Linked DNA regions of Danio rerio. The protein of the gene in region 1 binds, or shares a complex with, the protein of each later gene. Links are inferred from orthologs where the notes say so. Each region holds a gene or a part of one and is shown on either strand. Other genes may lie near its edges. The genes, in order: ormdl3 and sptssa.

What was found.
Region 2: the proteins of ormdl3 (region 1) and sptssa are in contact, whole or in part, in a cryo-EM structure (PDB 7CQI), measured with the Homo sapiens proteins. The link is inferred for Danio rerio from reciprocal best matches to the Homo sapiens genes ORMDL3 and SPTSSA. Residues at the interface, in NP_001307730.1 of Homo sapiens: Val36, Leu38, Ser39, Ile40, Pro41, Phe42, Ser44; in NP_612145.2 of Homo sapiens: Ile44, Tyr50, Thr51, Val54, Phe55.

Annotation. Positions count from the first base shown.
Region 1 is NC_133187.1:23,973,883-23,978,376, reverse strand, and holds the start of ormdl3 (ORM1-like protein 3), read left to right. Parts: upstream 1-1,504; 5' UTR 1,505-1,786; intron 1,787-1,994; 5' UTR 1,995-2,020; coding exon 2,021-2,194; intron 2,195-4,494. UniProt on the Homo sapiens protein: Plays an essential role in the homeostatic regulation of sphingolipid de novo biosynthesis by modulating the activity of the serine palmitoyltransferase (SPT) in response to ceramide levels.
Region 2 is NC_133192.1:11,126,819-11,130,480, reverse strand, and holds the end of sptssa (serine palmitoyltransferase small subunit A), read left to right. Parts: intron 1-336; exon of another isoform or gene 337-512; intron 513-2,269; coding exon 2,270-2,373; 3' UTR 2,374-3,133; downstream 3,134-3,662. UniProt on the Homo sapiens protein: Component of the serine palmitoyltransferase multisubunit enzyme (SPT) that catalyzes the initial and rate-limiting step in sphingolipid biosynthesis by condensing L-serine and activated acyl-CoA (most commonly palmitoyl-CoA) to form long-chain bases.

The DNA.
Region 1 (4,494 bases):
ATTTGCACATTTATACATTTTATACATAATTTATTATGCATATATAATAGCATTATGCATAGATGCAGAGTTTTCTTTAAATTGTCAGTAATTCATTTTTGTAGTCAATTTTGAATTTAGAGTAATAATGAACAAAATTCATTCATTCATCCATTTTCCTTCAGCTTAGTCTCTTTATTCATCAAAAGTCCCCACAGCAGAATGAACTGCAAACTTATCCAGCATATATTTTACACAGCACATGCCCTTCCAGCTGCAACCCAGTACTAGGAAATACCCATACACACTTACAAGCACACACATACACTACGGACGATTTAGCCTACCCAACTCACCTATAGCGCATGTCTTTGGACTGTAAGGGAAACCGGAGCACCTAGAGGAAATCCACGTCAACACGGGGAAAACATGCAAACTCCACTCCATACAGAAACGCCAACTGACCCTGCTGTGACTCTTGCTGTGAGGCAACAGTGCTAACCACTCAGTAGGCTCGGGTCAGTATAAGATTCTGACAGTATATGGTAACCTTGGATAAAATTATCACGGTTTTATGATACTGATATATATATATATATTGTAACAAACAAAACTTTTTTTCCTCTTTGAACAGTATATTTTATTTTGAGAAACTTTAAGAATATTTTGGGACAGTACTTTTCCAAGTCACTTCCAAAAAGAAGAAATCTTAGGAAGAACAAACAAAACAAAAGCAAACAACGAAATTGTGTCAGAGGACGATTAAATGCCCACATTATTACAATTTTCAGACCACACTGGGGAGAAAGCTGTTCAGCATGACATATTTTAGTTATATTTTAGTATTTTAGAGCTTTTCACTCTATTGAACTGACTTTTTTAAATTCTCAAAAGTCTTTGATAATAAAATATAGGTTATGCTATTAATGACAGTTTTCTTCTTTTTCTGTGTAACACAAATAGAGAAAGTGAGAAGAATGTTAAGGACTTTGCATTAGTCACCTTTCGGTGGCATTACATTTGCTCTCATGAAATTAAAGTGAATGGTGACTGTGAATATTAATCACTAATATTCTGCTAAGCTTCTCTTTTTTGGTTCCACAGAAGAAAATAAGTCATACAGTTTTAACCACACAAGGGAGAGTATCTAAATGATGACTGAATTGTGATTATTCATTTTAAGATGAACAACTCCTTTAATGCAATGAATGCATTGTGTTGTATCCAGTGTTCTTGTGAAATTGTCACCGTTGACTTTCTTACTACAAAACAATCATGGCTAATTCGTTATGTGCAATATTTCGTTTAAATAAACTACCATACCCATAAATCTCAGTATTTTTGCATAATTGCCTAATCTCTCCTCACTAGCACTTTCTGTGACGTGAAGGGGGGGGCGTGCGACTTTTCAGCAAATTATCAACGCATCGACCGCTGATTGGCCTACACCCTCCACGTGACCCACACCGTCCAATCAGCGGATACCCCGATGAATACATTTCCATCCTTCTAAAGGTGAGTTCTGAAAAATGATGACGTGAAACGATGAAGTCTTGCTGTGTTGTCACCATCTGTTTGCACGGGAACAAAGTGCTTGAAAGCAAACATCATGAAATAAACAGACGTGTCAAGTGTCGTGGGCGCAAAACCGCAAGGCTACACTGCATAAAGGCTCCAGAGCGGACGATATCCTGATAACGTTTACGAAATTACAACGGGGGCGAGAACTAAGGTTATAATTTCCTTCCTAAGGAGTTATTGTCAACTTTCTGTCTGGTTAGTGAAGACTCTTGCGCAATTTTGAACAGTAAGTGACTCGTTCTTAGCCCCACTCATCATTTAAATAACATCAAATAACATCAATGCTTGACACTTTCAGAAGTTGCGTTGTGTTTCTCTAGTTTGCATGCTGATGGTGATTTGTGGCATTTTTGTTGTATGACTTGTTACAGTCAGTGCTTGTAAACGTCAGTGAAGTAAATGTGATTTTCACGTGTTTATTTTGTGTTTGACAGTAAGTGCGCAATAGTAGTGAGTAAGGATGAACGTGGGCACGGCGCATAGCGAAGTAAACCCGAACACACGCGTGATGAACAGCAGGGGGATTTGGCTCTCCTATGTGCTGGGCATCGGTCTGCTACACATCATATTGCTCAGCATACCCTTCGTCAGTGTGCCTGTGGTCTGGACACTCACCAACCTCATTCACAACATGGTAAGAAATGTCGAGAACAAGCATTATGATCATGTTACGTAGACTGCTATTGATGTTTATTATTGTTTGGGTCACTGGTTGTTCTGCTAAGTGGTGATCAAAGTAGTTTCACAATTGTTTGTCATAAAAAAGTCATAAAAGTGTTTCTCAATAGCATACAGACAAACACACAATGAAAAATTAACAACAGGAATGTTTCCAAAAATAAAAATTTTCTCTTCATTTACTCACTGTTTACTTGTTAATGACTTTATTCTGTTAAATATGAGGGAAGATATTTTAAAGAAAGCTTAAGTGGTAAGCATTGAGTTCTGTAGTATTTGTTTTTACTACTATGATTGTCAGTGGTTATCGTTTTTTAGCTTTCTTTGAAATATCTTGTAGCTCAATCGACTCACAGCAAGAAGGTCGCTGGTTCAGGCCTCGGCTGGGTCAGTTTGCACTTGTGTGTGAAGTTTGCATGTTCTCCCTGAGTTGGCGTGGGTTTTCTCCGGGTGCTCCGGTTCTCCCACAAGATCAAAAATGTGGTTTAAGGTGATTGGGTAAGCTAAATTGTCCATAGTGTATGTGTGTGAATGAGTGTATGAATGTTTCTCAGTGATGGACTGCAGCTGGAAGGGCATCTGTTGTGTAAAACAAACATATATGCTGGATAAGTTGGCGGTTCATTCCGTTGTGGCGACCCCAGATTAATAAAAGGACTAAGCAGAAAAAAATGAATGAATGAAATATCTTATGTGTGTGTGTGTGTTTAACAGAATAAAGGAACTCTTAAAAGTTTGGAACCACTTGGGGGTGAGTAAATGGTGAGTAAATTTTCAGTTTTGGGATGAACTGTCCCTTTAATTTATAGAACCTCAAGCCAACAAACATGTATGAGACTTTGTTCTGTTGCAGAACATTAAGAATATGTTTTTAATTGAAACCATGGTTTTAATGATCTGCAAAATGCATGTAAATAGCTACTGGGACTAGTAGAGAGTCAGAAACACATACAGATGAGCCAAAATTGCTGTGGCTCCTGATGAGGCTTTAAAAGGATAGTTCACACCAAAATTGAATTTACTCAAGCTCCACATGACCCAGACTTGTTTTATTTATTTATTTTTTCTTTTGAACACAAAATATTTTGTAGAATGCTGGAAATCTGTAACCATTCACTTCCATGGTATTTATTTTTTCCTACTTTGGAAGATGGTTACAGGTTTCTAACATTTTTCAAAATAACATATTTTTTGTTCAACAGAAAAGTGTTTGGAGCCATCTGAGGGAGAGTAAGTGGTGAGTAAATTTTCATTTTTGGGTGAACAATCTTTTTAAGAAGCAAAATAATCAGTGTGTGCGAGAAATTTATTAATATTTACAACATTACTTTTAATCCATTGCCTCAGTGTTTAGTCCTGAACAGCACATGCTCCTGTCCTGTAATGACATAGCAAAATGTTTTTATATTATTGCAATGTTTTAAAAATGTATGTATTGCACACAACTATCACACAAATGCAATCTTAATTTGATAAGGTTTGCAGCATTCAGTACTATTCAAATGCTCTGTCACTTCTAAATTGAAGCAAAAGTCATCATTATAAAAAATGTCAATATGCACCAAGTTTGCAAGGAGACCTAGTTTCTAAAAAAATATCACTGTATGTGCTTCTGTCTTGTCATTTTGACATGACATTTTTCTCCCATGTATTGCTGTGGTTATCACTGTCAGTCACTGCAGTTCCTTTCTGCATTACTTTGAGCATGTCACTTTTAAAATGTGCAATGTGTACAGTACATGGCACATGGTCCTCTTAGCGGATCTCAAAACACACATTTTGTTCTAACTCAAATGGATTGTATACAGTATAAAAATTAGGAAATGTTCTCTCTTGAATATCACTTAAAAGCCGTCACTCACTTCAGTATGTTGCAGTGAGTCACTAAGACTTGATTGATTTCATCAAAAATACAGTACAGATTGTAAAATTGTCAAATGTTATTGCACTATAAAATGACTGTTCAAAAGTAGTTTATAATTTAATAATTTATTCCAGTGATTTTAAAATTGATTTTCAAGTTCATTACTCTAGTCTTCAGAGTCGCATGATCCTTCAGAAATCACTCTAATATTAGTTATTATTATTATTATTATTATTAATAATAATAATAATGGAAATAGTAATAAAAGCAATAATGCCTGGAGTAATAGTTCCATTTGAAATTACAGTACATACTATACGAAAGCAGTTATTTAACATTTTAATAGATATTTAACAATTTAACTTTTTTATATTTAATAAATGTCGCCTTGA
Region 2 (3,662 bases), on another chromosome or scaffold:
TGCATTTGTGTGGGTTTCCTCAGTGTGCTTCGGTTTCCCCCACAGTCCAAAGACATGCTGCAGGTGAATTGGGTAGGCTAAATTGTCCGTAGTGTATCAGTGTGAATGAGTGTGTATGGATGTTTCCAAGAGATGGTTTGCAGCTGGAAGGGCATCCGCTGCGTAAAACATTTGCTGGATAAATTGGCAGTTCATTCTGCTGTGGTGACCCCGGATTAATAAAGGGACTAAGACGAAAAGTAAATAAATGAATGACATGTCAGACTAAATAATCCAAATAAAGGATGAACCTCTGCTGTCTTCATTAGTTTCAAAAAGCACAGATTTCTTTACAACTTGTAAAAGGCGTCTTTGGAGATCTTTTTTTTTTTTTTTTTTGGAAATACAGAAGCATTGTTCAGGTCTATAGCATGCTTGGATGCTGGTTTATAAGTGATTTGTTTTCTAAATCATAAGCTGACCACTGTAGCTTTTGATGTGGAGGGTCCTTTACTGCTGGAGATGCTGTTGCCCTAAAAAAAAAAATCAACAAAACAGTCATAAAAAAACAAACAAACTGTCTAACAGAATTCCTCTGCTATTTTAAAACCTTGACTTTTCCAAACCATGGTGAACTTTGAATTCGGTTATCGTCCCATGTGTGATATATATGTGCGTGTGTGTATATGTTTGTATTTATTTATGTGTGTGTATCTGTTAGGGTTGTCACGAAACTGGAATTTGGTACCAACTGATACTGACATTTTTAAAACATCCATTTCCCGCTAACATTTGAGCGCTGTTGAGCATTTGAATGCTTAAACAGTGCTGACTGGTCATTGTGTTCACGTGCTCAACAGAAATGACTGTGGCTGTTTCTCAATTCCAAGAACGCAGAGAACGGACTTGCGTTCTTGTGGAGACCGGTCTTGCCAGGTGTCCTCGGAAGAACGAACTCAGGAGACCGCGAGGGCAGAGAATGCGTCCTTTGAGAATTGAGATGCTGCGTTCTTCCTGATGGTCACGTGACCTTCACGTGTTTTAAATGGTAAATTATTTAAACATTACAGCCTTCATACAACGATTTATTGTTTTTCCCCTTTTCAAAATTGCATAAAACATTATAAATATATGTCGCACAATATAAATAAAACTGATTTTAATACGAATTTCAGCAAACAAACACCTTTAATGTGTTTATTTCTTTATTAAGATGTCCATGATAATGTTTACTTTCACGGTGTCATTTAGGGAAACTCCTGAGGTGAATAAGTTATATCTCTGAACTTTATTAATAAATCTAAATAAAATGCTGCGCTTCCCATCTCCAGTCGCAATGACTTCTGGGACTTCCAGTGCGAGTTCGGTGCTTAAGTCTGCATCGGTGCGTCCTCGATATCAAGATCACATCCGGGAAGTTTCACGCGTCCTCCGTACTTGCGGTCTTGAGTATTGGAACTGAACTTGGGCAGCTGATGATGACGTTACACGAGAACACGAGGACGCAAGACCGCTGAAGAACGCATATTGAGAAACAGCCATTGATTGGCCATGAATCTCATCAGTTCACCAAACTCACCACAGTTTACTGAGTGTGACCACAGAAACAGGGACACTGGAGCGCTTCAAAGTCACGTCGATCAGCTGGTTTGTCTATAAGCAGACATACGAGAGATCTGCTGATGAAGCTCGGCTTTGAAGCACTTCAGTGTCCCTGTTTCTGTGGTTACACTCCGTAAACTGTGGTGAGTTTGGTGAACTGATGAGCTTCATGGCCAATCACAGTCATTTGTGTTGAGCACGTGATCACAGTGGCAAATCAGCAGTGTTTAAGAACGCTCCACAGCGCTCAAATATTAGTGAGATGGACATTTTTAAAATGCCAGTATTGATTGGTATGGAATTCCAGAATTATGACAACCCTAGTATATATCATTGACCTCTTATGCATCAGTTATTTTTTTTTTTTACAAACATTAGTACAATTTTCATATTTATTTCATTGTAATTTTGTGTACTTATTTTACTGTCATTTTATTTATATTCATTCATTTTCTGGTCGCCACAGCGGAATGAACCACCAACTTATCCAGCATATTTTTACGCAGTGGATGCCCTTCCAGCCACAACCCATCTCTGGGAATTCATTTATATAATAATTATCATTAATATATATTTTAAATCTTTTTTTTTTCATTACCTTTTCCCCATTTAATTCCATCTTTTATCCAGTTTAGTTGTTGTAAATGAATTTTCTCTTGTATAAAGGTTTCCTTAACCATGATCTCAGATTCTCTGCTTATCTCAGTGGCAGCGATGGCGGTCTACACCGGTTATGTGTTCATGCCGCAGCACATTATGGCTATATTACACTATTTTGAAGTGGTCCAGTGACGACAGCCAGCAGGATCATCGTCATCATCATCCTGCGCGCCACCGCCGTCTGTTGGCGGGAAAATGAACTGCTCCAAAACTCCTCTCCACGTGAAAGAAAATGAACACTTCAAACATGGACACTTGTGTTTGCTGAAGGAGAACAACAGTAAACAGCACAGTCTGCCGCTGTAATAGCACACACTGCCCTGTCTGCAAATGTATCCTTTTATAAATAAGATATATATAGGATGACGACTTTGTTTTTAAATAATGCTTCAGTTTTGTTTCATGACAGTGCTTTGTTCAGATGATTCTTATTTTTTGATGTGTATATTTAATTGTATACATGTTTGTAAGATTTTTATAGAGGTTTATTGACCTGAAATGACGTGGTTTGAGTTATCTCTGGTATAGTTTTGGATCTACTTTTGATCAGATTTGACATTGTGAGTCATGGACGGATGTGTGACGCCATTGTTGATCATTCAGAACCGGTTGCTCGGGTCATAAACACACTTCAGTAAACTCCTTCTGTAATCTACCTTGATCTTCGAGCTCTGGAACAATTATTCAGCAGATTCACTGTAAAATCCTGAAGAGAAAATAAGTCTTTTACTTTATGGAGAAGATTGTAAATGGTATGTAAACATTAATCTTGCCTCTAGTTATGAAAAACAAGTTGTATGTCTCAATTAAAATGTTGAATCTAAATTATTTTAGTCTGTTCTTGACTTCTCAACTGATTAACATAGTTTTGTAATAAAGATTTTCTTTTACACTTCAGGTGTCCTGTTTGTGGTAAAATAAGTACATTTTAATACTGAATTAAATCTTGTTATTTATCAATCAACTTCTATTTATATAGCACTTTACTACAGTCACGGCTGACTAAAGTGCTTGACACAAGTAAAAGCAAATTATACAACACAACAGAAAAGCAGACGATGCAAAACAGTACAAAAAATATCAATAAAATCCACAAACATTAAAACACAGCATCAGTGCCCTGCATTAAAAGCCAATTTAAACAAGTGGGTCTTAAGCTGGGCTTTAAAAAGTGTCAGGTCAGGGATTGTATGAAGCTCAGCAGGGAGGGTATTCCAGACTTTAGGACATGCCACTGCAAAAGAGCGATCACCCCACTGCTTGTTGACCGAGGGACTTCAAGCAGGAGTTGGTCAGCAGATCACAGAGCTCTTCTGGGTTTGTGCACATGCAAAAATTTGCATAAATAGGAGCAAGGCCATTGATGGCACTAAAAGCAAACATCAAAAGTTTCAAATCAATACTAAACTTAACGAGGAGCC